Regions from separate parts of the Mus musculus genome. Here all the other regions are reported to be linked to region 2. Evidence: microRNA targets listed by miRTarBase, many of them from high-throughput screens and not tested one by one. Region 2 holds a microRNA gene; each other region holds the end of a gene's coding sequence. Distances are from middle to middle.
Evidence for each region. Region 2 holds the annotated microRNA mmu-miR-149-5p (UCUGGCUCCGUGUCUUCACUCCC, at 3,002-3,024, opposite strand). A microRNA usually pairs through its seed, bases 2 to 8, with sites in the 3' UTR of a target mRNA and lowers its output. Matches are read on the target gene's strand: a 7mer-m8 pairs with bases 2 to 8, a 7mer-A1 pairs with bases 2 to 7 and ends in A, and an 8mer does both.

Region 1: miRTarBase lists Nptx1 as a target of mmu-miR-149-5p. The part of its 3' UTR that is shown has no 7-base or 8-base seed match.
Region 3: the mRNA of Slc43a2 is a reported target of mmu-miR-149-5p. Seed matches in the 3' UTR shown: 8mer at 3,870-3,877, 7mer-A1 at 3,179-3,185, 7mer-A1 at 1,607-1,613 and 7mer-m8 at 166-172.
Region 4: miRTarBase lists Kcnj10 as a target of mmu-miR-149-5p. Seed matches in the 3' UTR shown: 7mer-A1 at 1,653-1,659 and 7mer-m8 at 3,158-3,164.
Region 5: the mRNA of Nr1d2 is a reported target of mmu-miR-149-5p. Seed matches in the 3' UTR shown: 7mer-A1 at 2,638-2,644.
Region 6: the mRNA of Ssbp2 is a reported target of mmu-miR-149-5p. Seed matches in the 3' UTR shown: 7mer-A1 at 2,940-2,946.

The regions. Positions count from the first base shown.
Region 1 is chr11:119,538,085-119,543,417 of GRCm38, reverse strand. It overlaps Nptx1 (neuronal pentraxin 1), which reads left to right. Exons shown (of 5, transcript NM_008730.2): 4 at 57-236; 5 at 724-4,699. The coding sequence ends at 945. Among named protein-coding and RNA genes, the nearest start is that of Nptx1, 7.1 kb to the left of the region's middle.
Region 2 is chr1:92,848,072-92,853,404 of GRCm38, reverse strand. Mir149 (microRNA 149) reads right to left here and starts at 3,027; the gene lies at 2,962-3,027. It overlaps Gpc1 (glypican 1), which reads right to left. Exons shown (of 9, transcript NM_016696.5): 2 at 1-58. Gm29480 (predicted gene 29480) reads left to right here and starts at 4,608. Exons shown (of 4, transcript NR_166170.1): 1 at 4,608-4,704.
Region 3 is chr11:75,571,735-75,577,067 of GRCm38, reverse strand. Slc43a2 (solute carrier family 43, member 2) reads right to left here. Exons shown (of 14, transcript NM_001199283.1): 13 at 5,188-5,311; 14 at 1-4,753. The coding sequence ends at 4,592. Among named protein-coding and RNA genes, the nearest start is that of Pitpna, 14 kb to the left of the region's middle.
Region 4 is chr1:172,368,922-172,374,254 of GRCm38, forward strand. It overlaps Kcnj10 (potassium inwardly-rectifying channel, subfamily J, member 10), which reads left to right. Exons shown (of 2, transcript NM_001039484.1): 2 at 1-5,164. The coding sequence ends at 1,139. Among named protein-coding and RNA genes, the nearest start is that of Pigm, 4.9 kb to the right of the region's middle.
Region 5 is chr14:18,201,818-18,207,150 of GRCm38, reverse strand. Nr1d2 (nuclear receptor subfamily 1, group D, member 2) reads left to right here. Exons shown (of 8, transcript NM_011584.4): 8 at 270-3,095. The coding sequence ends at 466. Among named protein-coding and RNA genes, the nearest start is that of Nr1d2, 35 kb to the left of the region's middle.
Region 6 is chr13:91,700,078-91,705,378 of GRCm38, forward strand. It overlaps Ssbp2 (single-stranded DNA binding protein 2), which reads left to right. Exons shown (of 17, transcript NM_024272.4): 17 at 589-5,301. The coding sequence ends at 618. 4833422C13Rik (RIKEN cDNA 4833422C13 gene) reads right to left here. Exons shown (of 2, transcript NR_015501.1): 2 at 1,588-3,964. Among named protein-coding and RNA genes, the nearest start is that of Gm22778, 21 kb to the right of the region's middle.

The DNA.
Region 1 (5,333 bases), not on the chromosome of region 2:
AGCTCTGGGTAGCACCAGGCTACAGTGTCCATACTGTGTGTCCTCCTCCTTCCCAGGTGGCCAAGCTGCCGTTTGTAATCAACGATGGCAAATGGCATCACATCTGTGTCACCTGGACCACCCGGGATGGGGTCTGGGAGGCCTATCAGGATGGCACCCAGGGTGGCAATGGAGAGAACTTGGCACCCTATCACCCCATCAAACCACAGGGCGTGCTGGTGCTGGGTCAGGAACAGGTACTGGCCTGGGCAGAGGGCGAGGGAGGGAGTATGTGTGTGTCCATGGGTGTGTGCCGGGAACAAGTCACATCATAGTTCAGCAAGCTCCATGGGAGTGGGCCCAGGTCCCAGCACTCTTGGGAAACTGCAGCAGGCCTCTCTTTGGCACGGGAAGCCCAGTTCCACTTTTAGCAATGAATAATTTAGTTCCTGTGAAATGGTTCATCTCCCACTGGGCACGGACTGGGAGGGAGATGAGGGGACAGGAAGTCATCTTCCATTCCTGTTGAGCCATCTTGTCTTCCAGCAGATAGGGTGTTTGAGAGGGGTCGGAGACACTGTGGCCTTGGCTGCTGATGGCTCTCAACAACCTCTTTCTCGTTATTGCCCTGGGGATTGGGTGGTATCTCAAGACCCCTGGAGGGGTAGCTTTGCTAGGCTTCTCTGTCACCCAGCCAACCCCTTCTCTCTCTCTCTCTCTCTCTTCCCCCACTCTTCTCCAAAGGACACTCTAGGTGGAGGGTTTGATGCCACCCAAGCATTTGTGGGTGAGCTAGCCCATTTCAACATCTGGGACCGCAAGCTGACCCCCGGGGAGGTGTACAACCTGGCCACCTGCAGCAGCAAGGCTCTCTCTGGCAATGTCATCGCCTGGGCTGAGTCCCAGATCGAGATCTTTGGTGGAGCCACCAAGTGGACATTCGAGGCTTGTCGCCAGATCAACTGAAGGCTTCAGGCTAGGGCTGAGCCCCCAGCCCCAGCGCCTGCCCACCCTGCTTGTGCGGTGACCCATCGTCTCTCTTCTCCCCTCCCCCCAGGAATGACTCAAGGCCATGGCCCCTGCACACGCACACGCACACAGCCTGGTTGTCCTCCTTGTGCACTTGAAGCAGTCCCGGCTCTTCTCTGGCCCCCAAGGACACCCCCTTCTCTCTAGGGGCCCCACTATATCCTGGGCATACCTAGCTAAAGCAGGCAGCATCAGCTTTGACAATGCAGAATTTCGTGAGAAAGAGAGAGAGAGAGAGACAGAGAGAGAGAGACAGAGAGAGAGAGCGCGAGTGTGTGTGTAGGGAGGCTTTCTTCTAGAATGAGTTAGTTTGTTCCCTTCTTTCTGTGTGATTGTTGTAAGTTTCCTGATGGGTCGGCTGCCTGTGTGCCTCAGGGCTGGTGCGGCTTCCTGGACCACCCATTTGTCCTTGTTTGCAGACCTCTTTGGGAGTGATGTAGGTCTCTGTTGACATAAGTCAACAATGGTTTGTCAAGGTTGGGGGGGTGCTTTCCACAGGAATATTTGGGGGGGATGATAAGTGGAGTCTCTGAAATTCAAAGGCTGGTTGTCCAGGGATGGCACCACCTACCAATCAGCCCCTTCCCACGTCCCCATCAGGCTGTCTGCTGTCTACATCTGAGGGTGGCATGGGCTGAGCCCCTCAGCAGCTCTACCCCAGGACTGCTCCTCACCTCACCCTTGGCCTTCCTGCCTCCTTGTATCTTATCAAGGGACCTGTTATTCCCTTTCAGCTTCCAAAGCTACTTCAGCCCAGTGGTTCTGAGAGGAGAGTGCCCTTCCAGAGTCCCAGGACACAGGGCCTTGGCACCCACCCTTCTTCCTCCCTCTGGCAATGAGAGACCAGAGGCTTCAAGTGGGGGTCTCACGTGCTCGGTCTCAGCGCTAGAGAATACCGAGACCTGATCCACAGTCCGTGGGAATGGTCTCCCACGGCATTTTTCACAGCCATACTCCCTCCCCCCAGCGCACCCAGGCCCGGGTGAGCTAGCTCAGACCCCTCAGGGGCCAGGGGCTCAGAAACCTCTCATGTGGAGCCTGCTGGCCGGGGTGGGTCCTGCCATCCACTCCTGCATTTCATGGGGCACAAGCCCAGCAGCAGCCCCAACCTGCCACCGGCCTGAGACACTGAGCCCGTGGCTTTTCCTTATTGAAAGTAGGCATGAGTACCCCCTTCTGGGCCTTCTGAGGAGGGGGACGAAATGCGTGTGTGCACATGTGTCTGTTGAATGCTGAGGAGGCTGTGTCCAGGCAGGGTGGACCCCTGCATTGTTCCCCCCCGTGTTGTGGGCACACACCCAGTGACACCTGGACTATGTCTCCAGTAGCCTGACTAGCAGGAGGCTGGCAAGTCTTTCTAGAAACCTACGCACTGCCTGGCTCGTCTGCAGCTGCAGACACTTAATTCCTCAACAGGAGCAGGTTTTCCACCTGCTGTTCCTTCCAGGGGCACCTGTCTCCTTCCACACAGGTCCATGTTGTGTCTGAAACTAGTGCATCCGTGTCTGTCTGTGTGCTGTCTGTGTCACTGTTCTTGTGGGTGTCTGCACAGTTCCCTGGTCACTGCTCTGTGGTGCATCCTCTCTGAGGGTGCGGATCAGGCTGTGCTCCACCCGTTGTCCAGCAGTGGCTTTTTCTTAGATAATTGTGCTTCCTCAGCGCCCGCCGGGTTGTGGCATCCTTGGATCTGCGGGGATCTTCTGTGTTTGCATGTTCCTCAGGGTGGTGTGTCCCTTGCTCCCTTGGTCTGACGCGTGTTCCCTTGCCTGCATGGACTTCTCTGGTTCTGTGTTTGTGTGCTGAATGCCACCCAGTGTTCTGTGATCACCCATGTAGCTACTGAAAAATGGCTGGGTAAGCAAGCCAGGGGTGTTGGGGAGGTCAGGAGAGAGATCAACATGCCTCTCCCCTCCCCCTCCCCAGACATAGCAAGAAGCATTTCTAACATCTAGGTTGAGAACAAGCCTGAATGGTACCCATGGTTGGGAGAGAGAACTTGAACTTCAAATCGACTTTCCAGACCAGATCGAGCCCCACCCTTACTTTTAGCCTTCTGGGAGCCACCACCAGGCGAGGCCCAGAGCCGGCTATGCCCGGTGTACTCCTGCCAACCCCTGCCACCAGCCCCAGCCCCTGCCAATGCGGACCCCAGACCACTTGCACCCAGACGGGTGGGGTGGGAGCTGTCCGTTCAGGACCACAAGCCATCCTCTGCCCTGGCTTAGAGGGCAGAGCACACCCCAATGCTTCTGCCTCTGTCACTTCATCTCTCCACTCCTCTCCCTTCTCCTCTCCCCTGCGGCACCCACGGTGCCAGGGACAGACGCTGACATCTAGCTCTTGCCCTGCCCCTTACTGGAGTCTGTGCCAAGCCCTCCTCTCCGTCACTGTGTTCACACTTGGCACTTTGCTGGCCCTGAGAAAGGTAACGACAGCCGCAAATCTAATCCGCATATTTCCCATCGACTCCGTAATCTGATTGATGTTCCCTCTTGCACTGAATAATACATGCCTCTCTCAGGTAAGCCATTTTATAAAATAAGAGATAAAACGCACTGTCGAGACAGTGTTTGCTTCTGCCGATGGTGTCCGACAGCACCCTGGGCATTAGGGTGGTAGAGCTGCCACGGAGGCTCCCAGGCCCTAGGGGCTGAGAGCTCACTTGAATTGTAAGCCTTCTTGCTTTTGATAACACAGTATTATTTCTCTTACTGTAGAAGAAAAAGTTTATTACCAAACAAGAGTATTTTTATGAAAGAATAGGACAAACCTATAAATTATCTCAACCTATATCTCCCTTGAAAATACTTTCAGGCTCCGCCAAAACCTAGGACTGAAAGCAAGTATTTTGGAAGAAAGAGATACATTTTTGTATGCTTTCTTTTCCTTTTGTAGACGCCCGACTTATTTTCTAAGACTGCAAAGATCACTTTGTCACCAGCCCTGGGACCTGAGGCCAAGGGGTTGTCTTGTGGGCAGTGAGGGGGAAGGACAGGCTGGCCTGAGGTTCACAGTCATTCCAGTGAGCTCTGATGAGGGGCCACCAGATCTTGAGGGTGTGTAAGGGACCAGGAGGTTAAAAAGAAAGGCCCCTGATGGTGGGCTCTTTGTGTTGGAGCTGAAAGGTTATATGGAAGGAGATAAGAATTTGGATACCAGTTCTGAGCTTGATAGAAGGAATTAGGGTCACTCTGGCTAACATAGGGGTACAGCATCCTTAGTAACCCGAGCGTGGCTCGAAGTGGTCATGATTTCATCCAAAACACAATGTGTAAACTTACTCAGCTAACAATGGGAAATGTATTGCTTCTGTGCGCAGTGGACTTACGTGCAATTTGTTCAAAAGGGAACAAGTCATTGAGGAGAAACAAAAGCCCAATACTTAGAGTCCCAATTTTGTCTTATTTGCCAAAAAAAAAGCAACCCCCCAAGAGTTGATATTGTTACAATGTACATACTGTAAAATATGAAAGAATCGATGTATCTTACTTTTTCATTATTTGCTAACCAAAGCTGTACATTTTTCATACAATCCGCAGCCTTTTGAGTATCAAAGGGGTAAACCACACCCATCAGCCATTCTGGAAGTGCACTATTTATACTGGTATCCTTGCTTTTTTTTTCCCATTTTCTTGCTGAGATGACATGAATTGTTAAGTTTATTTTTACACAGTAAAGAGTGAAGAAAGACTGTGGTCTCATTGGATTCTTTCTCATGTGTGTGTGTGTGTGTGTGTGTGTGTGTGTGTGTGTGTGTGTGTGTTTGCAAGAACATATTCAGGCAAATGTGTATGCATTTGAAGGCCAGCGTTCAACACTGGTATCTCCTTCAGTTTCTCTCCACTTTTTTCTTTCTTTTTATCTTTATTTTACATATGGGTGTTTTGCTTGCATGTATGTACGTAATTATGCATGTATGTACGCCATTTGTGTGCCTTGTGTCAGCAGAGACTAAGAGAATGCATCAGATCCCCTGGAACTGGAGTTACAGGTAACTTGTGAGCCATCATATGGGGTTGGCAGCCAAAGCCAGACCATCTGCAACAGCACTCAGTTTTCTTAACTGCTGAGCCATCTTTCCAGACCCTCATCCCCACCCCCACCCAGCCTTATTTTTAAAAACAATTCTCCCACTGAAACTGGAGACTACCAATTCATCTAGCCTGGATGGTCAATGAATGAGTCCTGTGGATCTGCCTACCTCTGCCCCTGTCCAAGCTCTGGGGTTACAGCCACTGGTTTTTTTATGTGGGGGACTGGGATCTGAGCTCAGCTCCCCCTGCTTGCACAGTGGGCCCTTTACCCACTGAGCCATCGCCCTAGCC
Region 2 (5,333 bases):
TCCTCCATCTCACTAGTACAGCAAGTGTAGCCCTGGGGGCAGATCCGCAGGTGCTCACCTGTGGGACGGCAAAGGGTGTCGTGAGGGGGAACAGTGGTCCAGGATGCTCTGCCCAAGATGGGGCTCAGCTCAGGTTAGGAGCCCTTTGTGAAGGCAGAGATGGGGAGAGGGGGCACATTGTAGGGCAAAGCTGGGCTCCAGTGTCTCTGACCTCCCAGGGCCTCTGATTAAGATTCAGGGATGGGGTACCACAGGTTATCATAGTTATCAGAGGGCTGAGCCTCAGACTACGAGTACTGTGTGACATAGTCCAGCATCTCAGGAATGCAATGAGAGTCCTAGCAGGGCTCCCTGAGAGCCAGCTCAGCCCTCACATAGAGGGAGAGGCTGCCCGACTTAGGTTGGGGACCTGATAGAGGCTTTCGAGCCTGGCAGGTGCCTCTGCCCGGGGGAGGAAGAAGAAATCCAGCCTCTTCTTAGCTCAGGCCAGTCTCAGAGGCCACCTGACTGACAGCAGAGTGGAGTGCCCCATGAATGTTCTGCAGGGCCTGTGTCAGCATTCTGCAAGGGCCCTGGGTACCATTCTGGGGTGAAGAAAAGCATGCTCTGCGCAGGCACTGGGTCCCAAACAGAGGCCACTCAACCCTGGCCTGAGGTTCCCACTAGCTGGACACATTCCCAGTCCCCATAGTGTTCTGGCTGAAACTCCCTCCCCCGCCATCTATCCTGGGCTGGTGAGCTGACCTGTCAGCCCTTGGTGGCACTGCAGCAGTACCATTCAGGACAATATCAACTGCCACTTGCTGACAGAGGGTTGCTTTGGGCCTACAATTGGCCTCAAAGTGTCTACCATGGAGCCCTTACAGCACACACCTGAGAGTCTCCTGGCATCAGAAGAAAACCTCAATGGGAGAGGAAACCTTCTGCTAAGGCTATAGTGACACCAATTTACAGGGAATCTGAGGCTTGGAGACTGGCTTTTGTCCCAGTTGGGGGCTGAGCTACTCAGGACTGGGCCTATGCCTGACCCCACTCTGTTCTACTCCCTTCTCATAGGGTCACACTGCTGTCTCTGAGCCTAAAGACAGAGCCCTACAGTCCCTACAAGGGACTGGGTGGATCAAAAAGGCAGAGGCAGTGGCCCAGCCTTAGGTGAAAGGTCTGAGAAGAGGGAGCGGTCAGCAGGGATTCTAGAAGCTTCCCTCGTGCAGGAATGCTGATTTTGATGTTATGGGGAGCCAGTGAAATGCAGAGTTTCCAGAGCCCAGAGTAGGTGCCAGGGCTGGTACCTGGGCTTTATCCTTGCTGACGGGTTGATGGGAAAGGTGGGATGTGAAGAACTCCAGGATGTGATACTGCAGGCTGCCATCAGAGGTGGGGGACTGAGCCAGAGGGGAGTGGACATCTTGTCAAGAAGCATGTGGGGGCAGGAACCTGTGACCTCAGGATGAGGCCATTATGTGTTAGGCCCCATTTCTATGAACCCCCCTCCCCTGAAGCCAACTGGGAGTGGAGATCTCTGACTAAGGAGAGATTCTGAGGTTGCATTCACCCTTAAGAGCTTGTTACATGATCACATCCTTGTCTTTAGCACTTAGTAAGCACAAGCATTTATGTGTGCTGGATGGTGTGTGTGTGTGTGTGTGTGTGTGTGTGTGTGTGTGTGTGCATATTGCAGAGTGGAACTGTGTACAGCCTCTGTGATTTTGACCTGACATGGAAGGTATATATCCCCAGATGCCACCCCTCCATCCCTAGGTAGGGCAACCTTCAGATCTGCTCTTCCAGGTCTCAGGTTGAGGGCCTGGCCTAGCCCTTCTCCTGCTTACTAAGGCATGGGAGCTGTGCTTCATCCCAGAACCCTGGGGACTTTTGGCCTCACAGGCTGAGTCCCACCTGGTTTCAGGGTCCCCAAAGGTCCACAGAGCAGGGCAGTGGCTGACAGCTGGTAGAAGAACAGAAGGAATTGTATTCTGATTCAAGGGTGCTTGGGGGAGTCAAGAGAAAAGGGAGTCAGAGATGGGAGGTGCACACGGAATGCCCCTCCCACCACTCCCCTACCTGGTACCCTCTGCTCCTACCACACTGCTTCCTCCTGCCCAGGGCACCTGCCTTTCACAGGGACTGCAGGTCCTGGGAAGCAACATGTTATTAAGCACCCAACCTCAAGAAAGGGCTGGGTTGGTGCCCAGACAGCTGGGAGCTGCAAGCCTAGGTCCTGCCACTTGATCTGCATCCATTGATTGATTCCCTTCCTTCTAGAGTAGGGAGGGCTAAGCAGAGATTATCCACCCGCAAGCAGGCTACAGGCACAACAAGGTACAGGGCCCAGCAGGGCCTTCTATTTGCTCTGCTCCGGGCCATGGTCTGCTGGGCTGAGGTGATATGCCACATCTCTCTCTTTGAGTGGTGGGGTTTAAGGGTTTTTCTGTTAGAGGAGGAATCATGGGGGGCACTGTAGAGGATGACCCATCTCTGACTTCAGCAGTGAGTGGGGAAACAGCTATGGGGATGGAGGCTGCAGGTATCAGGATGGGGCCATCCTGGGCTCAGCTGGGACAGAGGCACTCTGTGTGTGTAGGCCAAAGGTTTTAGGTGGAAATATTGAGGACCAGGCTGCACAACAGAGCACTGGCAAGAGAGAGGTGGGCACAGCCTTACTGGCCCCTCCCATGGTTTCTGCTCCTCTGACATCCTTCTCCATCTTAGTGGTCCCAATTGCCACCCCTCACCACATAGACAGAAGAACGAAGCTGAAACAGGAAGAAGTTAATTAAGGACACACACTCAGAAACAGAAACTCGCCCCACTCCACGGCAGGTTCTGGATAAATGGGACCCATGAGACTTTTGGCCAGCTACTATGAGCATACCCCATCCAATGGCCTCCCCTGCAGCCCCCTGGCTCTGCCTGGCCACCTCACCCAGCCAGCCCGGTGACCTGCGCTGTTCCAGTTGCCCCAGCACCGCCCCCGTCCCTCCCTCCCTCCTCGGACAAACACGGGAGTGAAGACACGGAGCCAGAGCCTGGGCACTGGCCTGAGGGCCCCGGGCAGGCTGGGTCAGGCTGCCCAGAAGCCCATGCATTGGCAGACCTGCTTGCTGAGGGTCAAAGATAGAGGAGCTGAGACCCAGCCCAACTGGAACCATAGGTGCTCAACATCAGAACAGCTAAGGCAGGCTCTGCAAAGCTCTCTACACTTCCAGGAAAGCACTGGAGTACATACCCATCGTAGGAACGTCTCTCCGTTCTACCCTACCAGCAGCTTCCTCCTTGCCAGCCCTGAAGGTGGGTGGGAGTGGAGCGGCAGTATTGTTCCCCACTGACCCCGCCCATCTCTCTCAGAGTTGGTTTCATTTTTCCAGATCTTTCCCTCCTGGGTTTTTGGGGGGCACTACCCTCCCCTGGCACTCACAGGTTTTATTTGGGGAAGGGGGTTGTTTGTTAATGGCAGGTTTTCCCCACTTTAGTCCCTTTTCTAAGCCTTGTCCCCAACCCCAAAGCCTCTCAAATTCCAAGACCCCTGCTTCTTGTGACACTTAGCATGGCACCCCATTGCAGCAAACCCATGGGCAGCAACTGCTCATTTACCTCCTCCCAAATCTGGCTGCTTGCACCCCACCCCCGGCCCCCCACTATTCTCCAGAGCAGACAGCAGCTTGTGGCTTCCTACCTTTCAGGGTCACACCCTCCTGCCACCTGCTGACAGCTCCAGCTCCTGCTCCTCCCTCACAGAGGCAGCATCCCTCTTGGTCATCATCCACAGTCACCCCAGGACTTTAGCAGAGTCCAGCATCCTGATGCTACCCACAGACATCTCTGACCTGACCTCCCCTGACACTTCAGGGACCCAATGCCTTGAAACCCTCCACCTTCTGAAGATAATGCAGAGTCATGCTACCCCGCCTCTGGTCCATTCTTCTAGAAGCTTCCTGTGCTCACGGGGGAGATGCAGAGTGGAAAGCCCACTTCCCTCACGGCCCCTAAAACACTCCAGCTGGCACGGCTTGGGGGAGTGTAGGGGCATTCGGAGTATAATCTCTCAGCACCGCAGATAAGGGAGAGGCACAGGCTACACTCCCCTCCCCAGCTGCTGGCTCCTAGAGCAGGCCTTTCTGTTGACTGGTAGGTTAGAAGTAAACCAGCCCTCTGTGCTCCTGGGTTTTCCAGCCCCAGAGGCTGAGAGTCTCCAGGACGTGACAGCCTGGAGCAAATGGCCCAGCTTTCTGGGGGACTACTCACTGCCCAGGCTCCAGGGGCATTTTCCCATTGCTTGCTCCTGTTCCCCAACAAACCTGTCTAGTCCCCGGGGGTCACACCCGAAGGAAGACATTTCAACTCCATCTCTGAAATTGGAAAAGCATCAAGCACAATCCCCTCCCCGCCCCCACCTCACTCCCAATACTTTTCCACCCTCCTGGATGCCTTCATGATTCCCGAGCCCCTGCCTCCGGTTCACCCAAATGGCAACATCACCAAGAAGAACCTCCATCACGAACAGGGACCCCCTAACTGGGGGGCATCGGCTGCTGGCACTTCTATGGACTCGATGGGAGGGGTCATCTCCGGGCAGGCAAGGGCTCCTGCCAGCTGCCTCTCCAGCATCAGGCCAGGCCCTGGGCGAACAAAGCCTGGGCGACACCTGCAGCTCCGACCGACCGCTGCCTCCTCTGCAACGGGGATGGTTCTGTACAGCTGGAGCCGGTAAGATAAGCCGGAGCTGCAGATGCAGGCGCCTGCTCTGGCGCCGCAGTGAGGAGGGGGCGCTGGTGCAGTGGGCGCGGCTGGTGCGGAGAGCTGAGTGCTGCGGCAGGCAGAGGGGGGCATTTGGAGGGGGGCTGCGGAAAGCGGGAGATGGAGGGAGAGGAGAGAGGGCGATGTGATTGGCGGGGAAGGGGCTTGCCGCAGTGGGCGCGGCGGCAGAAAAAGGAGGGAGAAAAGCGAGCGCCATGGCTGTGGCGGCGGGGGCGGGGTGAAAGGGGGGATGGGTTCAGTAGAGGAAGGGGGACTTACTGCGGAAAGGGGGCTGCGGCAGCCTGAGGGGTGCAGGGGGAGGGATGGGGTAGAGAGGAATATCTAGGATGGTGCAGCACAACTTTAGGGAGATGGGGATGGGATGGAGGTGGGAGCTGAGAGACATGAGTGGACATCAGGGCTGATGACCAAGCTCTTGATGGGAAGGGGATGAGACAGAGATAGGCTGTAGTGGGGGTACAGCTGCGAGAGAATGGAACTGAAGATGAGAGGTGAATGCATGGAGGAGGGGGGATGCAGACAGGAATGGTGATAGAGATGGTGCCTAGCAGACGTAGCCTGGTAGCTTAGCGGACACC
Region 3 (5,333 bases), not on the chromosome of region 2:
AAACGTGAAGGACAAAATAGAAAAGTAGGCAAGGGGGGAACTTAAGGCTTCTCTGTAAGACGACTTCTGAAGAGACTGAGGTCAGTACCATCTTTATCTGGCCACCAGTCTGACATGGTCAGTCCCCTTGTGTCAGGGTCCTGTCATAGGAGGGGGGGGGGGTGCCTGGCTCCCGTGCTGTCTGCCTTTCTCCAGGGTCCTGGTGTTAAGTTTCTGCTGTGAGCTACACACACTGCTGTTCTTGCGATTTACCTACAGGTCCCCTTAGCCACCTCGTGAGAGCACAGAAGCCTCCATTTCACGTGAGGAAATGGCAGGAGCTTTCCCTGAGAATGTGGAGTGGCTGCTAACCCACATGCCTCCCCTCAGAGAACAGTCAAGGTTAGGAAGTGACCTGTGGTCCTGTCTTGGATCTATCCATGGAAGAATGACTCACTGCAGGGACCAAGGGGCATAGTTGGTGGCTGTGCTGACAGAGCCATGATACCTTCCTCATAGAGGACACGGACTCTCCTCAGCTCAGGAGGCTCTGTCCACACTCTAGGGCCCAAGGCAGGTTAGAGCATGGGGACACAGCCTCATCTTGACCCTCAATCCAGGGAAGAGCTACAGCCCGAGGAGAAGCCAGCCCTCCTGTAACCCTTGGGTGCTCTTTCCACACAGCTGAGTCAATACACTCTCTCTCTCTCTCTCTCTCTCTCTCTCTCTCTATATATATATATATATATATATATATATATATGTATATTACTCAATTTTAGGTTGTGCCTAGTAGCTTCACAGATAAGGCACTGTCACTGCCATAAAACCCACAACTACCTTACTGCCCTTCCTAGGGAACAGTGTTGAGGCTATAACAGCCCCTGTGGCTGGGCTCTGTGGAGACAAGCGCTGAGCTTTGAGCAGGGGAGAGCTGGGGTTAAAGGTGTGCACCAGCACCACTGGCTGGCTATGTACAAGTTTTGATCAGAACTTCTGGATGTGGGTGTAGGGGACAGAGCACAGGAGGTGGTCCCGAGGGCCTGTACCTTGGCTTTAATGAAGGTTGGAGCCAGCTGTGAATAGGTCCCGGCAGAGTCGTAAGGGTAGAGTCCCAGGGGAATCCATCCTTGATGAACGCCAAGACCACAAAGGAGGGGCTTCTGGTGAGACTGTCCTTGACGGGTAAAACCACAAGGCTGGCATCGCTTCCTGTTCCTTCCATCGGTGCCTCTAGCCTGTGTCTAGCCTGTGCTTCTGTGCCTATCTTGGGGTAACTCTTCTTGAGGTTGAAGAGATCAGGGAAATTATTCCTGCAAGGACCCATCAGCCTCCAGAGCTCACGTGACTCTTGTGCAAATAGCTTGCCTCAAACCTGAGAAAGCATTGGCTCCAAGATATGGAAACCATTCTGAGCTTGCACCCTTTGGGCTCTTTGCTTCCAATGGGGGGGGGGGGGGTTCTAGCTGAGACAGCCTCGGCTGTGTTAGTGACTTGAGACCCACAGGAGAGTCCTCTGGGGTTGCTTCTCCAAGCATCTATACCACTCTAGGCTGTCACCGTGATTCAAAGACACTGACATGTCTGCCAAGTCAGCGCAGGATGGCCCTTGATTAGGGAGAGCTCATCTGGCTTGCCACACCTGTTCTCTGCTACCAGTGGACGTCTCTCATCTTCCAGTACCGTTGGCTCTTTTCCATCCCACATTTAGTTTTCTAGTGTCTCAATCCTAGGATATATACCCTTACAGCATCACGATCAAAAGTGTGGGCCCCTCAGTGTTGCTGGGAACTGCACAGGTTGTGTCTGCAGGCTATATCCCTAGCAGGAAGGGACATTCCCTCAACCTCTTCTCTTCCTCACAGGGGCATCTTAACCTCTGGGCAGCACCAGAATCAAATCGAGACATAGGTGAGACCAGTGGTCTGCCATCTGATTTTGTCATTCTTTTTTCCGAAGATGAGAGTTCTTGGATTCCAGGTTGGCATCAAACTCACTATCTGACCAAGAGGGACTTTTGATCCTGATGTCACCACCTTCCAAGTGCTGCACTACCATGCCAGGTTTATTCAAACCCAGGGCTTTGGGTAAGCTAGGCAAACATGCTACCAACTGAGCTACATCCACACCCAGGCCTGGAGCCAATCCACATTTCAGCCAAGTAGCCACCATGTCGCACATGGCTATGATTTGTCACCACTCAGCATGTCACAACCTTGTGTGTGAGCAGGGTTGCAGCTCATGCTGAAAGATGTCACCCTTTGCCTTTTGGTGCTGGCATTACGGGACTGTGCCATGTTTCCACAGCTCTCAGCTCCACCACTCAGACAGCAATGCCTAAAACTTCCAATTTTTCTCCACATCCTTGCAAACAGGTTTTTGGATTTTTTTTTGGACAGGGTCTCATTGAATAGTCCCGGCTAGCCTGGAACTCGAAATGTACAGGAGGCTGGGCTTGAACTCAAAGAGGTCCTCCTGACACTACACCTGGTGCTACCCCCAGCTCCAATGCTCAGGAACATGGGGAAAGGGCTGTGGATCCCTGCTGTGAAGTGGCAGGTCTGACTTTAACTCAGCGTACCCCACTAGACCTTTTCACAGACAAGTGTTCTGAGAGATGGTTTGGAAAATACACAATAGCTCTCTTGGGAAACAGAACCTAGGGTCTTAGCCATGTTAAGAGTGAGCTCTACCACTGAGCCATGAGAAGCCTCAAAGGGCTTCCACTAGCTCACTGTTGGGGTTATGTGATTACTGTTTGAACAGACTGGAGTCAAGACCTGGCAGTCCACTCTCACAACAGGGCCTGCACTGAGACTGAGGGCATCTCAGTTAGCCTGGGTGCTAGTTAGCCTAGGACTTTCCTGGAGTCACCATATAACAACCCTTGGGCTTACACGGTAACAGCCAACAGTGGAGATGAAGGCTCTCTCTGGATTGGTCTGTCTAGTCGCAACAGACAGCAGTGAGGGCAGCCCACACCTCTCCACAGCCCCATTTCCCTGGACAGGGTAGACAGGGCTTTCCTTTGCCCATGCCCCTTCCTGGACATGTCACCCAGGTGTAGCTGGGTTTGTCACTAGCAGAACATCTACAGATTTTGACTATGTAGCCCTAGAATTCTCCATGTAGACTAGACTGGCCTCAAACTCTGCCTGCTTCAGGTTCCCATGCTGGGATTAAAATGTGTGCCACTATGTCTGGCTTCTTTTTTCTTTTCTTCCTGGCAGACCCTTTTGCCCTGTCTCTCCTCTCAAATATAAAATAGGCACATACAGTAATTAGCTGATACGTGAGGAGGGGCATCCATTACCAACAGGGAAATGGATTTATTGCTTCATAAAAAGAATCATGATAAAACAAGAGAAAACCATAAACTTAAAAACCAATGTACCCCTCTTGGCACCCCAAGAGGTCTCAGGCAGGGTTTCTAGGGGTTGTCAAGGCAAGGTGGGTTAGTGAGCCAGGCAGGCCGGCTAGGCTTCTACTACATGAACCGTTCCAGTCCCCTGATGTGAGTCTGCCAGCAGGGGGCACTGTGATCACACCGATACACACAGGTCCCCATCATAAAGCAAGGCTGACTCCTATTTTGAGCCTGCTGTAGGGCTGGCTGGCTTCTGGTCTGGTCCACTCTGATAAAAGCAGCCCCTGGGGCTAGCCTCCTACCATATACACACATGCACACACACGTACCACATAAACACACACCCCTCGGGTTACTCACTAATCCTCTTCCCTATTTAGGCTTGGCTCCTCATGTCTAGTCACAGCCTTATTTCCACCCCAGAAAAACAGCTGTGGGTGGATGGGAGGGTGCCCTTGTGGTGTCCCCTTAGTTCCCTTCAGGTTGCAGACTGGAACAAAGCGTGCCAGCAGAGAGACACTGCTCTGGCTCCGGAGGAAGAAGCCTGGCCCAGGGCTCTTGAGGCTTTGTGTAAATAGTCTGCCCTCCACTCCTTCCCCAGCCTGAGACAGGGGGGGCTTCTTCTCAGGCTTTCAAGGAAAAGAGGGGCCAGAGACTAGCCACGGGCAGGGGGGTGTTGGGATGACAAAGGGGTTAGCACCAACAACAGGAAGCGGGTCCTTCCTTCCTCAGGCAGCCAGACTGGCCAGGGGAGGTAAGGGGCCAAGCAAGGGGAGTGCAGACAGCGCAAGCCTTTGTCCTCAGGTGGGCGTGGTTGGTGGGCGTGCAGCTCAGGGACAGGTAGTGTGCTGGAGGATGGCAGGCCCCTCTGCTTTGGCAAGAGGCAGAATCCGATCAGTGAGAAAGAGAAAGAAAAAATAAAAAGAAAGAAATGCTCGCTGAAAAGGTCCCCTTGGCTCCAGGTACAAGCCCCATGGAGATCGGGAGACTTCAGAGCCCCTGGGGTGACAGCTAGGCCAGGGCAGCCCAGCTTCTGGCAGTGGGAGGTTCACTTGTCCCAGGCCCTCTCCTGTCCCTCCACACCAGCACTCCACGGCAGGGCCAGGTGGTTCTGAGGAAGTATGGGCTCCAGTGTGGTGAAGGGCAGGATCCAGGGAGAGCATGAGGTCCTCTGGGGTGGGGAGATGACTGCAGTCAGTCACTGAAGCACAGGCAGGAGGCCACAACTGAGGCGGTGGGTGGGCACTACACGAAAGCCTCCCGGTTGGATGAGCCATTGATCTTAAGGAACAGCTTGCTGTCTTCCCTCTTCTGCTGCAGCTGCCTCTCCAGCTGGCGCCGGTAGCAGATGAGGTAAAGGGGCAGGCAGAAGCCCAGCATGCTCATGGCGAGCAGACCCACGTTCACCTGGGATGGTGGGGAGTTGGCTGTGAGAGGGAGCTGCATGCACGCAAGGCAGCACCCTCCCGCCCGCCCACCCGCACACGCAGGTCTGGGGAAGGGAAGGCGTCACACAGAAAAGACTCAAAACTAAAGAGGAGGTTCAAGGGGTCCCAGCTGTCAACCCACATTCCAGCATCTCATTTCCCCAATGCTCCTCAGCGGCCTCCAGGGAATGGGCTGGGATTGGGACAACTCATGACACCTGGATGAGAATGCTTTGGATGGAAAGCCTGGAATTCACCCCAGAATCGGATCCAGAGAGGCCAGTTTTCTCCTCCTTCCCGGTCACCATCCACCAGGGACCCCTGACTGGGTACTGTCCAACGTTCCCACACTACCTGTTGTCCTTGGGCCCCCTTCCCAGGAGCAGAATGGAGAGACACCCTGACCCTTCTTACCCACAGAGGGTCTCCTCCCAGAGGACCCATCATGGCCAGATACAGCGGCTGCTGCAGGAGAGCAAAGAGCGCACTGACCAGGGACTGCAGTCCAGTGAGGCTACCAAACTGTGTGGAGGGGTACCTGTTGGGGCAATGAGACCCAT
Region 4 (5,333 bases), 80 Mb from region 2:
TGACGTCGGTCGCTAAGGTCTATTACAGTCAGACGACTCAGACAGAGAGCCGCCCCCTAGTGGCCCCAGGAATACGCCGGAGGAGGGTCCTCACGAAAGACGGCCGGAGCAATGTGAGAATGGAGCACATTGCTGACAAACGTTTCCTCTACCTCAAGGATCTATGGACGACCTTCATTGACATGCAATGGCGCTACAAGCTTCTGCTCTTCTCTGCAACCTTTGCAGGCACGTGGTTCCTCTTTGGTGTGGTGTGGTATCTGGTAGCTGTGGCCCATGGGGACCTGTTGGAGCTGGGACCTCCTGCCAACCACACGCCTTGTGTGGTGCAGGTGCACACGCTCACCGGAGCCTTCCTCTTCTCCCTGGAATCCCAGACCACCATCGGCTATGGCTTCCGCTACATCAGTGAGGAATGCCCACTGGCCATCGTGCTTCTTATTGCGCAGCTGGTGCTCACCACCATTCTGGAAATCTTCATCACAGGTACCTTCCTTGCAAAGATTGCCCGGCCTAAGAAGAGGGCCGAGACGATCCGCTTCAGCCAGCATGCCGTTGTGGCTTCCCATAACGGGAAGCCTTGCCTTATGATCCGGGTTGCCAATATGCGGAAGAGTCTCCTCATTGGATGCCAGGTGACAGGCAAACTGCTTCAAACGCACCAGACAAAGGAGGGTGAGAATATTCGGCTCAACCAGGTCAACGTGACTTTCCAAGTAGACACAGCCTCAGACAGCCCCTTTCTCATCCTACCCCTGACTTTCTACCACGTGGTAGATGAGACCAGCCCCTTAAAAGATCTCCCGCTCCGCAGTGGGGAGGGGGACTTTGAGCTGGTGCTGATCCTGAGTGGGACAGTGGAGTCCACCAGTGCCACCTGCCAAGTTCGCACTTCCTACCTACCGGAGGAGATCCTCTGGGGTTACGAGTTCACGCCTGCGATCTCACTGTCAGCCAGTGGCAAATACATAGCTGACTTCAGCCTTTTCGACCAGGTTGTGAAAGTGGCATCTCCCAGTGGTCTCCGCGATAGCACCGTACGCTATGGAGACCCCGAGAAGCTCAAGTTGGAGGAGTCATTAAGAGAGCAAGCTGAAAAGGAAGGCAGTGCCCTTAGTGTGCGCATCAGCAACGTCTGATATCCTGTTCTCTCCTCCCCAGCCCTCTGGCCTTTTCCTCTTCCAGTGCTCTGGGAAAAGGATACAATCTGGGTTCGCTGGAGAGACCCTGAAGCACCCACCCTCAACTTCCCCTTAGCCCGGTGGCCTGTGAGCAGTCGGGGCCTGCTGGAGCCCTTCCTTTTCCTCTCACTGTCCCCTTGTACCTTCCTCTACCACTACACCAATGTATATGACTCTTAAGCCAGCTTGGGGGAAAGAGAGGGAAGATGAGGCTGACATGGCTTGGAAGGCCGCAGCCATGCTTGGAGATTCACATTCAGAGGACCATGTGACTGGATGGATAGACTCCCCCCCAAACGCCCACCACTAGAAAATTTGATGGCTTGAGACTGGAGCTTCCTCCTTTTCTCTTCCATCTAGCTAAGTTCCCTGAGGCAGAACTCTCTCAGAGAGTCACTCTATGGGCTCTGCCCTCAGAAGTACTGGGATCTGAAATCAGTTTTCCCTGGGCTATCAAATCCTGAAGAAAGAAGCCAGAGTTTGTCATGGTGTTTTAATTTCAGCTGGTAACTCCTGACAGAGCCTGGACTCTTGGTCACCACCTAATTTTCCCTCTCCAGTTCTCAAGTGGATCTTCTCAGCAAAGCCGGTTCTCTCTCAGCTTCTGTTTCTGTAGAACTGGGGTTGACTCGAGAAACACAAGCAGCCACCTTTCCTGCACCCATCCTGGATTCTGAGAAATTCAATTTTGGAAATACTGTCTAATACTCTGGCCCTGTCCTTTGGGCAGCTCTGTCCTGAAAAGATATGTTTTAGTGTTTCCTGGGAATAGGAAGACCTTAACCAATGCTCTCTCTCTCTCTCTCTCTCTCTCTCTCTCTCTCTCTCTCTCTCTCCCTCCCTCCCTCCCTCCCTCCCTCCCTCCCTCCCTCCCTCCCTCTCTCTCTCTCTCTCTCTCTCTCTCTCTCTCTCTCTTTCATGGGCTGTCCTTGAATTTACTATGTAGACTAGGCTGGCCTTGAACTCACAGATACCTAGCTGCCTCCGTCTCCCATATACTGGGATTAAAGGCATGAACCACTATGCCAAGCCCCCAATGTTCTCTTGAATAAGTCCATTGCACATACCTCACGAAAATATCTAAAACCATCCAGATTACACTGTACCAGTTCCATTGCTTCCTTTTCTCCCACCCCAGACCTTCCCTTAACTCAACCTTTTGAAGTAAGAGAGGGAAACATGGTCATTTGCCTTTCTTAACATCGATCTATTAAAACTAGTCACAGGGCACAGATTCCCCAGGAAAGCTGAACCCACTTCTCAGATTTCCAGATTGCTGTACAGAGCCTCGGGGAATTTGTGATGTTTTGTTATGGTTTGGGCTGAGGCAGAACTCTGGCTGACAGCCACTATTTTGTTCCATCTCCTGGTGCCCTTCTGAGAAGTGCCAGCTATTTTATGAGGCAATGCTGAGAGGAGAGGAACTTACATTCTGATCTCTGCCATTCTGACACCTGGCATAAAATGATGAAAACCAGCGCCATCTCTCCTCTTTTCTGCCTACGGGCCAGTTCCAGGCAAATTACAAAGACAGCTTAAGATCACACCCAAGCCATTCCTAGTTCTCTGGTGAGGGTTGTGGCAGGGGTCATGGAAGGGCATTTGAAGCACCAGGTCCTGTCCTAGTGAGCTTTGGCTCCACTTGGGTACCCAGGAAACCTCGCAAGGTAGTTTGGCAGGAATGACGTAAGCTGTAAGGTGGACTTGACAGATGACAAGCGACACATCTATACAGAATGCATGCCCGGATCTCTGGGCAAAGCCTTGCAGAGAAACTCAGAAGATCCCAAGACTGAGTGGATCTCAACTGTGCACAGTCTTTTTACGTTGGTCTTCCCTTGAACTCAATTAACTGTAGCCTGAAAACGAAGAGCCTTTGGTCTCTCCTTACTGTAAAGCTCACCGTTAGCCTCCAACTCTCATCAACAACCAGAACCAGAAGAACCTGAATGTCTGAAACAAAGAGCAGAAGGCAAGAGCCAGCTTATGTGCTTTCAAATACATTCAACGCTGCGCTTACCTGATGTGTCCAGTGTGCAAGGACCATGTGTACTGCTGTGTGTGTGTGTGTGTGTGTGTGTGTGTGTGTGTGTGTGTGTGTGTCTTCTTATCCTGTGGCAATTTATCCTCTGTCCTGTTTCTTCTTCACATTGCTGCTTCCCTTCTGAGGGAATGACCCTCGTCCCAGAGCCTTGCCAAGGCCCAACTCTCCTCAGAATCTTGGATAACAATGTGAGAGAGCATTTCCTGCCTTAACCCCTTTTGAACTTCCTCTACAATCCCAGGCTTTGCTCTAAGTTGCACTTTAAAATCATTTAAAAATCATTAACATCTGTCCTGTTAATTCAGAATTCAGAACGGCACCTTTCTCCAACAAGCCTTATGTTCTGCAGAACAACTCCCACTCACAACCCTAAGTGGTTCTTTAGATCCCAGCCCGACTCTCTGACCTGAAATCCTTTCTCAGGATGCAGGGCAAGCTTTACTAACAGCCACGGCTGATGAAAAATGGGTTCCCTGTCTGTACCAGCTAGAGACTTGGAATGTCAGGAGAATAACAGGTGCGCCAATTCTAAGTGGGATGGGAGATTTCAGGTGAGCAAAACGACCAATGGGGAAGGATCTCCAGAGTGGGGAAAAAGTGAACGACGAGGCTAAGGGGCCTAGGGAGATGAAACTCAGAGTCTTACTTACTTATGACTGACACACAGGAGGTGGGGGGAAACTTGGGAGATTGAGATATGATATATGTTTATCTAAGGAGAAAAACAGAGATAATATATACAGAGAAATGTACATAGATGTACATATACCCAAATATACGGACTGTACAGAAGGAAGTATTCAGACTTTAACAAAGGGACAAATATTTTGCCTTGGTTTGGGGGAGCAGGATAGCTGGATCTTCTGTGTTATGGTCTGAACAACAGTGACAGTAGCTGATGGTTTTAAGTTTGCTTGATGGAAAAGGGAGGGCTAGACCCTGCCCTTTTCATAAATAAAGGAGCATCCGTCGAGGTTTGATGAATTGTGCTGGCAGGACAAGAGGAAAACTAGGAGGAAATGGGACACAGGGATGCTCCACTCATGGAGAAGTAGGAAAATCTACCACTCACACAATCCCTGGCCAACAACCTGCCGCTGAACAAGTTCTAAAACAAGCAAGCAAGGGAGCAAGTAAGCGATCGAGCAAGCGAGCAAACAAAAGCATCCTTCCATTTTCCTCTCTTCTTCCACCAAGATGGGAGCTGTAGGTCTAGGCCCCATCATTAAAAATTGAGAAGCTGAAATTTTAGTACGGGGGGGTGTGTCAAATGCAAACACTAGAATGCAAGCCCTAGGACTGATGAGCTGTTGAGCTCAAGATACTCTCAAGGCAGAGGCCCAAGCCTATATAGAGAAATCCTAAAGAGGGTACTTCATCTGTCATCGTCTCAGCCCCGGCGTGGAGGCAGGTGAATGCGATGGCTACAAGGCTTCTTGATGGAAATGCAGAATTCTGCTTTCCTCTTCCCCAGAGGCTGATGCAGTTCTATGCAAAGCTTCTGAAATCCCTAACCTGGGCTTCACTTCATTCTGGCTGCTCCCTACTGTTCCTCCCACTCTCTGAAACCCACACCAGCTAGCACTATGCAGGGATTTCCCTGAGGTCAGCAGAAAAAGAAAAGCAGTCGTAATGTGGCTATTAGCCAGGGACATTGCACATTCTCCAAGGCTTGCTACCACAAACCTTTACCCATGCTAGCTAACCTAGTTTCTTTGCAAAATAACACATTACCTATGCTGTGCATAGCTGGGCTTGCAGGCCCAGTATTGGCCAGTGCTACTGAAACAGAAGAATCTAGGGATGATTTCTCTACACGCTGCATTAAAGACTAAACCAGGTCAAATGTATTTAGAAAAAAAAAGATGTGTGAGGCATTTTTGGTTTATTTTTGTCTGTTCAGAACAAACTACTAAATAAACTGGATGCATCTCTTGTTCTCACTGTGTCTCCTTTTAGAAAGGGAAACCTATCTTGTTATCAAGGTTTGAACTCATAGGCTGAGTTTGGGGAGAGGAGGGTTCAACTAGGCTCTGTTGGAAGAACTTCCCATCCAGTGGCCAGCCCTTCCTGCTGACTTTTCCTCACACTGGAACATTTCAATAATG
Region 5 (5,333 bases), not on the chromosome of region 2:
CTTTGTAGCCTTGGCAGTCATGGAACTTGCTCTGTAGACCAGGCTGGTCTCAAGAGATCCACCTGCCCCTGCCTCCTGAGGGCTGGGATTAAAGGCATGTGCTACCATCCCCGGCTCATTTGTTGTTGTGTTATTGATGTTACTTTAGCTGAGAATTTTTACAGCTTGTATATATTGCTCTATTTCAAATTTGGTAGTGGTCAGTGAGTAAGTAATCATTTATTGCTAATGTCTTCCCTTCATATTTCTTTCTTCTCTACTTTCATTAGATCGATCTGGAATTGAAAATGTCAACTCAGTGGAGGCTTTGCAGGAAACACTCATCCGTGCACTAAGGACCTTAATAATGAAAAACCATCCAAATGAGGCCTCCATTTTTACAAAATTACTTCTAAAGTTGCCAGATCTTCGATCTTTAAACAACATGCACTCTGAGGAACTCTTGGCCTTTAAAGTTCATCCTTAAGGCCTTTGAACATGAACTGATGCTAATGTACATTTTATGCTGAGATGTTTATTTATATGTGTATACTATATTGTGGAAATAGAAAAGAACTTAGCGCCAGGTCCTGGGCTGTCTCTGTAGTCAGTCACCAGTAGCTGTTGGGATAAGAACTCGTTGTCTTGTTAGACATTGGCCCACCCTCCCCTGTAGACCAATCAGCTGTGTTGCACTTAGACTGGAGAAGTTACACTGAATTATAATCACACTGAATGTTAGACTTTTTCATCTGCCAAAGCCAAAATACCATTTGATCTCCCCATGGTATAAATCTAGCGCACATTGCCGATATAGGAGGACTTAGACATTAACCCTTTGTGCTGGGAATTCTGTTGTACCACAAGACTGAAATGTGGTAAGGGAGACTGAGAGCCAAGAGGTCTTTATGTACTTGGATTTTGCTCTGCCACTGTCAAAGTACGTGGTGGTGGCAGTCTCTGAGTTTTGGAAAATGATAATTGATAGTGTCCCCAATGTTCTGCCTCAAATACTGAAAACTATCCATAAAGCGTCTTTACCTCTTGGGAGATAGGCACTATGTAAATAAGGTGAAGTTTTTATTATAATTGCTCATAATAGTATTCTTGTCTTATTTCTAAGCATTTCTGGGAAACTTTGACAGTCCACACCAATTTATTCAGGGTTCCTGCTCAAGTAGGGTACCCTACTGATAAACACATATTCCAGGTTTATGGACACCTCAAATAGTATGTGTACATAGTGTGTATGTGAATATAATTATATATAAAAATCTTACTTCACAATATTTTAAACTGTGAAGAACTTTATCATACAATAAAACTTAAACAAGAGGTGTCAAGGACCCAAATTAGGTGCATTTTACCTGTTGCTGCTGATGTATAACCATTGCTTTACAATGTTTAGATGGTAGAATACTGAAGTTAATGCTCTTATTTTTGTTTAAGGAACATTTAATGTAAAAGTGTGAAGAGCAGTCAAATCTGGATTTTAGAAAAAAATGTATTTTAGGATGCATCTTTGATACAATCTGCAGTTGAAGGTAATAGATGTTTCAGTGTTTCAGCTTTCTACCTTGTGCTATTAGTAGAGGTGGTATTGCTGCCTCTTACGTGCTTCAGGTGGATGGCAGATTTGGATTCTGTATGGAGGAGGTTTTGTTTAGGAAAACTTTGTGACCTGTTGGCATGTTTGTGCCAAGTCCACTTTTCTTTCTTTCCCTAAATAATACTACAGGGATTTTGTCAATTTAGATTTAATATAATTTGAGAAACCTTTTAGTAAGTGACCTACCTACAGGCTTAGAGATCATGGTAGGAAAGATGGCCAAAGTTAAAGATTCATGAACAACACCCCGTGCCCCCCAAAGTAGCAATTCATTGTATTTTGGGGGTAAAATTACTTTCTGTGTAATGCTAGATTATGTGAAATTGTAACGACATTAAGAACCTGCTTTACTACTTAAAGCCTGTTACTTTTATGACATTTAATCAGAATGCCTTATTTTGTAGTTTTAACTTGTTGCTACAGGATTTGAACTTCTGTGGTACAGTTAGGAGAGCTTGAGAAAGATAAACTCCTATTGTCAAAGAGGAAAGTGATGGTGTGTCTGTCATTCAGTAGGGACCATAACTGCTGCTTACGTTCAGTGGGTATGGCTTTTATGGGATATACAGCTAGGTTTTGTGAATTCTTTACATGATAGCATTCTTTTATTTTTTTTCGTAGGATAAAAAAATGCATAGTTTTCTTCTATGAGGGATAGAGAACTTTTTTGAAATAATACTATGTTGATTCTTTATTTTTGCCTTTTACATAAGTGTCTTTATAACATGTATCTTTAGAGCAGTTAAGTCTTTGGAAATATGTAACCAGAACTGTTAGTATTGCTTGTGATGCTTTAGTTAGGGTTAGTATATACATGTATACACCAAAATACAAGCATGTAGATTTGCATTTTGTCTCGTAAAATTTTATTTTAATAAATTCTTCCTGAAGTAATGGGAAACAAAATCCATAGTTCATATGCCACATGTAGTATTTCTGTATTTGAAAGTAGCCCAAAGATGAGCATTCTAATTCTAAAATGAAACCAGCAGCCTCATACAAGCACATTCTTTGGTTGAGTCATGGTCTAACAGTTAATAAATGACATCAGCCAGATAGAGAACCTCTGAGTCAGTGGGGTACTGTTGATAATTAACAATGTACTGTATGAATTAAGTGACATGTTAACCCTGACTTTATGTTTCAAGGTTAAAATATGGGCATTATCTCATCAGACTTATGGGCATTATGTTAACAAGATGAACCATTTTTTCCTGTGCTTTTAGTATGTGATATGAGAGGATTCCAGCTTCTAGAGAGTGAACACTGAGGGAAAGGAGAGACATCGTAGGATAAAGTTTGTTCTCCTGGTAATGGTTAATTGCAGATAAAAAAATTTGAAGGGTGTTTCAGTAGATTAATATATAGATTTCATATCTACATTGTAAGAAATTACCATTGTGATTGGGTCAGAATTGATGTGTGTTATATAAACATTGCAAAGCAAAGCTGTGAGAGAAGCTCAGATAGATGTATCTTTTTGCAATATAAAGTTTGCTGAATGTATGAGTTTATTGTTTTGTTCTCTGTTTCCCTAGTAGACCAAATCCCTACTGAATCCCTCAGGGCCGCCCCTAACACTGCAACAGAACATCAACTTCAGCCTTCCTTCCCCACTGCCCACACTCTCTGTGGATCCCACAGAACATTCCTTTCTAGCCTCTCTTCCCTGAATTGTCACTGTGTCCCAGCCTTCAGCTTGGGTGGACACCCCCTACTCAACTACAGGCCACACCTGCTAGAAGACCAGGTACTCTGCTCTTAGACCTTCTCTGATCTCTGTGTTTCCCTAGCAAACTCAGTCCCTCAGGCTCATTCCAACCCAACTACAGCCTCCCTTCCCTGTTCACACCTCCTGTGGATCTCAAAGAACATCCCCTTCTGAGCTCTCTAAAATCAAAACTCAACCTGCCGGTGTAAAAACAGTAACAGCCAGGACAAAATGTTTCCAGAGTCCAGTTATCTTACCACAGCAGAACCTTGCTGAAGTGCAAGAAAAAAAACCTTAAAACCACTGCATGAAGAAGATAGAGGTCCTTAAAGAGGAATAAATCTCTTAAATCTAGGAAAGCACAGTTGGATGATGTGAATAAGTTCCTTAAAGCCAGGAGAAAACAACAGTTGAAGGAAATAAAACTGTTCAAGATCCGTAAATGGAAACAGAATCAATAAAGAACAGAATTCTGGAAATGGAAAAATTCGGAATTCGAACAGGAACTACAAACGCAAGCTTCAACTGCATACAAAAGATGGAAGAGAAGATTGGGCATTGAAGATGTAATAGAAAAAAAGTTGAGGGCTGGTGAGATGGCTCAGTGGGTAAGAGCACCCGACTGCTCTTCCGAAGGTCCAGAGTTCAAATCCCAGCAACCACATGGTGGCTCACAACCATCTGTAATGAGATCTGACTCCCTCTTCTGGAGTGTCTGAAGACAGCTACAGTGTATTTACATATAATAAATAAATTAATAAATATTTAAAAATAAATCTTAAAAAAAAAAGTTGATACTTCAAAGAAAATGTTAAATCTAAAGATTTCCTGACATGTAACATCCAGGGAGTCTGGGACACTGAAAAAACCAAATCTATGAGTAATAGTAATAGAATGAGAAGAATTCAGCTCAAAGGCCCAGAAAATATTTTCAATAAAATCATAGAAATTTCCCTAGACAGAAGAAAATGCCCTCCAAGGTACAAGAAACATACAGAACACCAAATAGGTTGGACAAGAAAAGACCATATAATAAAACACCAAATGTACAGGACCAAGAATATTAAAAGCTGTAAGAGATAAAGATCAAGTAACATACAAAGGAAGACCTATTAGAAGTAAACCCGACTCATCAACAGAAACTCTTAAAAACCAGAAGGATCTGGACAGGTATGCTGAAGACTCTTATGAGACCATAGATGCCAGACCAGACTGCTATGCCCAACAAAACTGTAATAGGTCACTACAGATGGAAAAAGTAAGATTTCATAGTAAAACCAAACTTAATATCTTCAAATCCAGCACTACAGAGGGTGCTGGAAGGAGAACTCTAAGGAGGTTAGTTACGCTCATGAAAATACAGGAAATAATTTCACACCAGCAAAAACAAAAGAATGGAAGCACACACACACACCACCATCACCAAAACATGTCATTGGTTATTGATGGACTAACCGAATGGATGTGAAAACAGGATTTATTCTGCTGTATCTAAGAAACATATCTCAACATCAAGCATAAACATTACCTCAGAGTAAAGGGTTGGGAAAAGATTTTCCAAACAAGCTGGTTTAGCCACTTTAATATCTAACAAAATAGACTTCAAACCAAAACTAGTCAGAAGAGATGGGGAAAGAATACATACTCAGAGGAAAAATGCACCAGATATTTAAGTTTTTTTTTTTAAAATCTTTTGTATGTTCTTTGTGAGTTTCACATCATGTGCCCCAATTCCACTCATGTTCCTGTCCCTCATCTCTTGCAGCCTTTCCCAAAAGAAAGAAACAGTGAAAACCAACCCCCACCCCCAATCTAGCTATTGGTGTCACACAGTATACCCTTTTGTTCAAACAGCTTTACTTGAAAATGCTCATTGCATTGAGCCATTGGTTGGTTCAAAGCCTCTAGCTTCTACTACACTATCAATACTGGATCCTCACTGAGATTCAACGTCTATATTCTATTATTGCCCCGTGTCATGGAGATCTCTAGGAGCGGATCTTTCATGAGCTCCAGTAGTTGATAGATGAAGTA
Region 6 (5,301 bases), not on the chromosome of region 2:
GTGCATGTCTGTGTGTGTATGAGGCTTCTGTGTTAACACATTGGAGCATCTGGTCAGCAGAGCTGACAGTTGCTCATGACTCCTTACATAACTGTTCACTGAGCACTTTCTGTGTGTCGAATCAAGTATACAGTTGAAGGATTTTATATTGAATACTCCCCAAAGTGCTTGATATTGTCAGAAAGGCTGTTATAGGGGAGAAAACTGAAGGAGAGTTCAGGGAAGTCCCCCACTCACTGGGCTGTATATAGCAAAAGCTAGGCCTCACACTCTTCACTGTAAGCCACCCTTGAACTAAAGTTGTCCAGATTGTTTCAACTGTCCTCAAAACTTTCATCTGGCTTGGAAGGAGAGTCTGAGGACTGCATAATTATCTAGGTCCTGGGAAAGAATCAGGCTTTGTAGAGGAAATAATTTCAAATTTTAAACTAAGTAAAGCCATATAAGCTGGCTTGTTACAGTTCCTTATTTTCCTGAAGTTAAAGGTGTGTGCTTAATTGCTCATAGAGCCTAGCATCCATCCCTTGCCTCTGTGTCAGGAGAACCCTGCTGACGTCCCTGCTAACACTGGACTCTCTGTCCCTGTAGTACTCCCCCAGCATGACCATGAGCGTGTGATCCGTTGCCGCGTCTCTCATGAAAACCATCGTGAGTCAGCCCATCACAGAACTACTACAGAAGAAAACTACTCGTCGTGTACAGTTAGACAAAGGAATCTCAGACAACCAGACCACCTTTTAGTTCCTGCTCTCTCCCCTATTTTGAGAAGAAAGCGGGTCCAAATGTGATTCAAGCAACTGTACGGAGCGGCACATTAGCATTGCCCCCAACTGAACTGCGATGATTATCTGTGTGTATGTGTGGGAAGAGAATGCATCGTATATGCAGATCTGTATGCACATATACGCATACGTGCATTGACCCACAGGACATTGTAAGATAGTATCACATGACATCTTAAGTAGAAGTAAGTAGGACTTTTATGCCATCCTTTTTTTCACGTTTACACTTTAATTATTAAAGGTTGCTCCTGCCCTTCCCCAACTATTTTGTGCTGTGTACATCACTGCTTTATATAAGTTATTTTTTAAGGTGAACTCAGATGTTATGGTTTTGTAAATGTCTGCAATCATGGATAGGAATAAAATTGCTTATTTGAGAGCTTTCATTCACTGTGTCTGAAGCAAGTTGCCCGTGAGCCCCAGGTTGTACCAAGTAGAGACAGTGACTTCATCCTCATGTCCAACCAGGCACCCAGTTACCTTCTGTGCAAAGTAGTGTGGTGCTTTGTATATAAGGAAACCCCTCAACAGTAGCTCAGCCAGGGCTTCATACAGTACACTTCTGCAATAACTGCTTTAAATTGAGTTCTTTCTTGATTTGTGTGTCTTAGATGATGCAGAACTCATTAGCTAACTCAAATGACTTAAACTGTAGCAATAAAGTGACATGGGTTATCATACTTTTAGCACACATTCTCTCTTAAACACGATAAAATCCAAAAGTGATAACAAAACCACTTGTTTGAACTTACAGCGTCTCCCAGGGAACTAGAAGTAAATGTCTAATAAGACACAGCGAGAAATGGTGTTGTATGTTTATTCAGATTTCCTATGATCATTTCTACAGACACTTGAAAACAGACAGACACACTGACATGATTCAGGTTTTCAGCCCAGAGAGCAGAGAATGAGGAAACTAGAGGATTCTGCAGCGTTTCTGGTTTCACCCACCCAGTAGCTTGCTTGCTGGAGCAGAACTGATGGGTACCTGTCTGTTCTGTTGTCCCTGCTCTCAGGTGGCAGTTCCATGCCCTGTCTGCTCTGTCCTGGGTCAGAGGGCTTGCACTGGGAGGCAGATTATCTGTGTAGCTTATGTTCACTGCAGCTGGCTAGATCTCCATTTTGTGTCTGACAGTTCAGAAGGGAGTAAAGAAACAGTTTTAATTATCTCCCTTATGAAAGCACCCTGCTTGCATGACACTTCCCAGATCTTTGGGATTCCGTTTAATCCTATATCCAAACACCAAATCCTAATAGGAAAAGCATAGAGAGTTTATTTTATAATTGAAAAGACAGCTCTGCAACCCTTGCTGTTCTAACTGAGATACAAACAACCACTGATCTCTACCCTGCTAGAGGGTATTGCCCGGGCTTAGGGGCGAGGATTCTCCCTTTCCTGTGGGACTGTAACATAACTGAAAACGTTGACACTGTTTGCCTGCTGTTGGTTCTGGACAATTGATTTCTCTCAGATCCACATTGATTCATCCTTTCTGAAAATGGAAAATGTTAGCTGGGCATTCCAGGGATGCTGGGAGCATAGAGGATAAAAAAGATGAAGTAGCTTTACACTGCAGATCTAGAGGACAGTATATGAGTCATACTTTATAAAGTACAGCGTCAGCCTACAACTGTACCAGAGAGCAGCCTTGTACTAGCCAGCTACAGGAACCTGTCACAGGCAGTTCACACAGGAAGTCCATTTCCCCCCAGTCACTAGTGGCCACTTCCTTCTCTCTGACTGTACAGAGTTGAACTGTGTTCAGTGGGCTCGGTCTCCCAGCGCTTCCTTTCCTCATCTGCTCTCCATCTCGCCTGGCCTTCGTCTCTGTCATTCATCTTCTGAGAAGGGAAGCAAATGATTCCTACCACTCGCAGAAGTCATGAGCCTAATTTTACTTGGGAATCTTAGAATATAAATGACACAAATGGCATTTTAACAGTGGTTGATAGAGTAGCATCATGTGTGCTTCTAACCTGTTTTGTTTTTTAAAAAAGTAAAATGGTTTTGTTTTTGTTTTCATTTCCTTTCTTTCTTGGAACTCCGTTTAAAAAAATACCTGTTTCCAATGTTTAAATTCTTGAAAAACTGAAAAATTATTTTTAAGACAAAACTACGTTCTCAAACAGGAAAATAAAAGAATGCTTAATTTTTATAGCCAGATAACTTTTGTTACCCGGAGGGTAAGCATTATAACTATATTGATTTTATGTAGATCTTAATTATTTAACATTTATTGTTTTTCTGGTAAGAAATCCAACATTGTCATGCATTCTACGGCTGTTGGCCCATTCATGTCCTCTTGATGTATATGCTGCTTGCCAGAGGTTAGCTTTCTGCATACTTCAGCCCATAATAATGAAATCAGCAGTACTCACATATTTTGGGCATAGAATGCACCCATAAAATGTGACAATGGGCAGCAGGTGTGAGCATGCATCCGGTCACCCCTCCCTGCCCTCCCTAACGCACCGACGTTTGAAAGTTCGTGTCAGTCTTAAGTCCTGAATGGTTCTTAACCACCTGACTTTCTTACTGTGAAGATGCCCAGTGTAAAAAAAAAAAAAAAGGCTTTGATAATTTGATGGACAAATTATCGCTTTTTAAAAAAAACATTCCAGTTTGGGTTCAATTACCAGTGAACAGGAATTTTACAGCTAAAAGTCTGAGGTTAAGATTTCTTGATTTCTGAAAGACTAACAAATCAATTCCGCTCCCTTCAGGCAAGGAAAGTGCTCAGACACACCTGTCCCTTCAGAAACTAAATAGAGAAAAATTCTGTTCCCCTTCAGCCAAAGAAAGTGCTCAGACACACCTGTCCCTCCAGAAATTAAATAGAGAAAATCTGTTCCATTTCTCTTTTCATGATTCTGTCAGGCGTCTGAACTCCATTGCATTTGAAAGGACCATTCAGGTAAACATTCTTCAGCTTGGAAGTGAATTCATCTTGGCATGTGAAGCCCCACAGCCGCCTACATCGTTCCCCACATTGATCTGGGGCTGTGTCCTCAGCAGGGACTCTGCACAGTTCTCAGTACTCCATACCCCGGTTAGCTTGTGGCCCGGTTTCTCCATGCCTGCCTTCCATCCCAGGAGATGAGATGCAAGGGTTGAGCATCTTTTCCCTCTCGGCTTTGCAGCGTTTGCCTCTGCACAGTGTGTAGTACTGGTGGTAGTTTTCCTGAGGAAAGAAATTTCAGTTTTCATCCCTTGATTATTACTGTTCATCATAAGCAGTATGAGAGGTCACAGCTATGCAACATCTGAATGTCCTCTTGATGCTGTTTCCTGTTGTGTTTTGTGGGCTGTAGCTCTCCTCTCCTTGAGACATTAACTGAGGCAAGAAGCCCATGAATACTTGGTATATGGAGGGAAGATTGGTGTGATGAGACCATTATCACATGTTTTACCAAATGCCAACTAGTCTTTTGTAGTTTTTCCTTCTTAAATTTCTCTGATATGAGAAGCAAAACCCCATGCTAGCTTAAAACAATGTTTCTGATTTTAAACATTTGTAACAATCTCCCCTCATCTGAGAAATATGCCTTGAGAAATACAGGAAAAGCAAGAGTGTTAAAACCACCTCAATTCTGCATACTACATGTGTGTATATCTGTGTGTATATGTTGGGAGATGACAGCATAAATTTTGCTTCTAAACCCCACTTCTACTAAGATCATGTTATTTTATATAGCACTGTTGATAAATAGTAAACATTTTTTTTCTTTTGACATTTTATTTCATTGGTGAGATATCTGATACAAGTTATTTGGAATAGCAAGAGAGGAGAACACCACTATTCTATATATTGAACAATATATAAGCAGGAGTAGTTTTCCCAGGCCCAGATTTAGCTTCTCAGCATTGGCCTTCATACTGAGCTTGTCAGAAATCATGCAGTAATTATAGATTCCTATTGTACACATTTGTTTATAAGAGGTTGGATTGATATCCCCTAAAGTGTTAACTTTACCCATGAACGGTAATTCAGTTTGGATGACCTAATGATAAACACACATCTGAGACTTTCAATGACTTCTGTAGACTTTATTATGAAGAAAGATATCCAACTGACTGAGTCTCAGAGGAGTTTCCTCTGTGGAGTTTCCCGTGGTAACTTACAGAATTTGTTTCTTGAGTAAAAGAATCAATTCTGTATGGAGTTTAAATTGAAATGTGAATAGTTTTTGCTGTATACATTTTTAAAATGGAATACAGCACTAAAATGAAATATGTAAATGTTACAGCATTTAATGTGGGACTGAGTGTTTTCAATGTATGCATTTACTGGGTCTGATTAGGATAAACGTTTGCTTCACTTTGACTGTCCCAGTCACTGGAATCTTACGATCTGCTTCTCAAACACTTAGTGTTTCATTTCTAAAGCAAGATGGGCTGTTGCTTTGGCAAAGGTAAGTGTTACTATTCCTTGAAAAACAATATAAATACTTGTTCCCAGTTATTACATTTCACTTTTCTTTTGTGACAATTGGTCCCAGTGTATCACCTGAGGGTGAG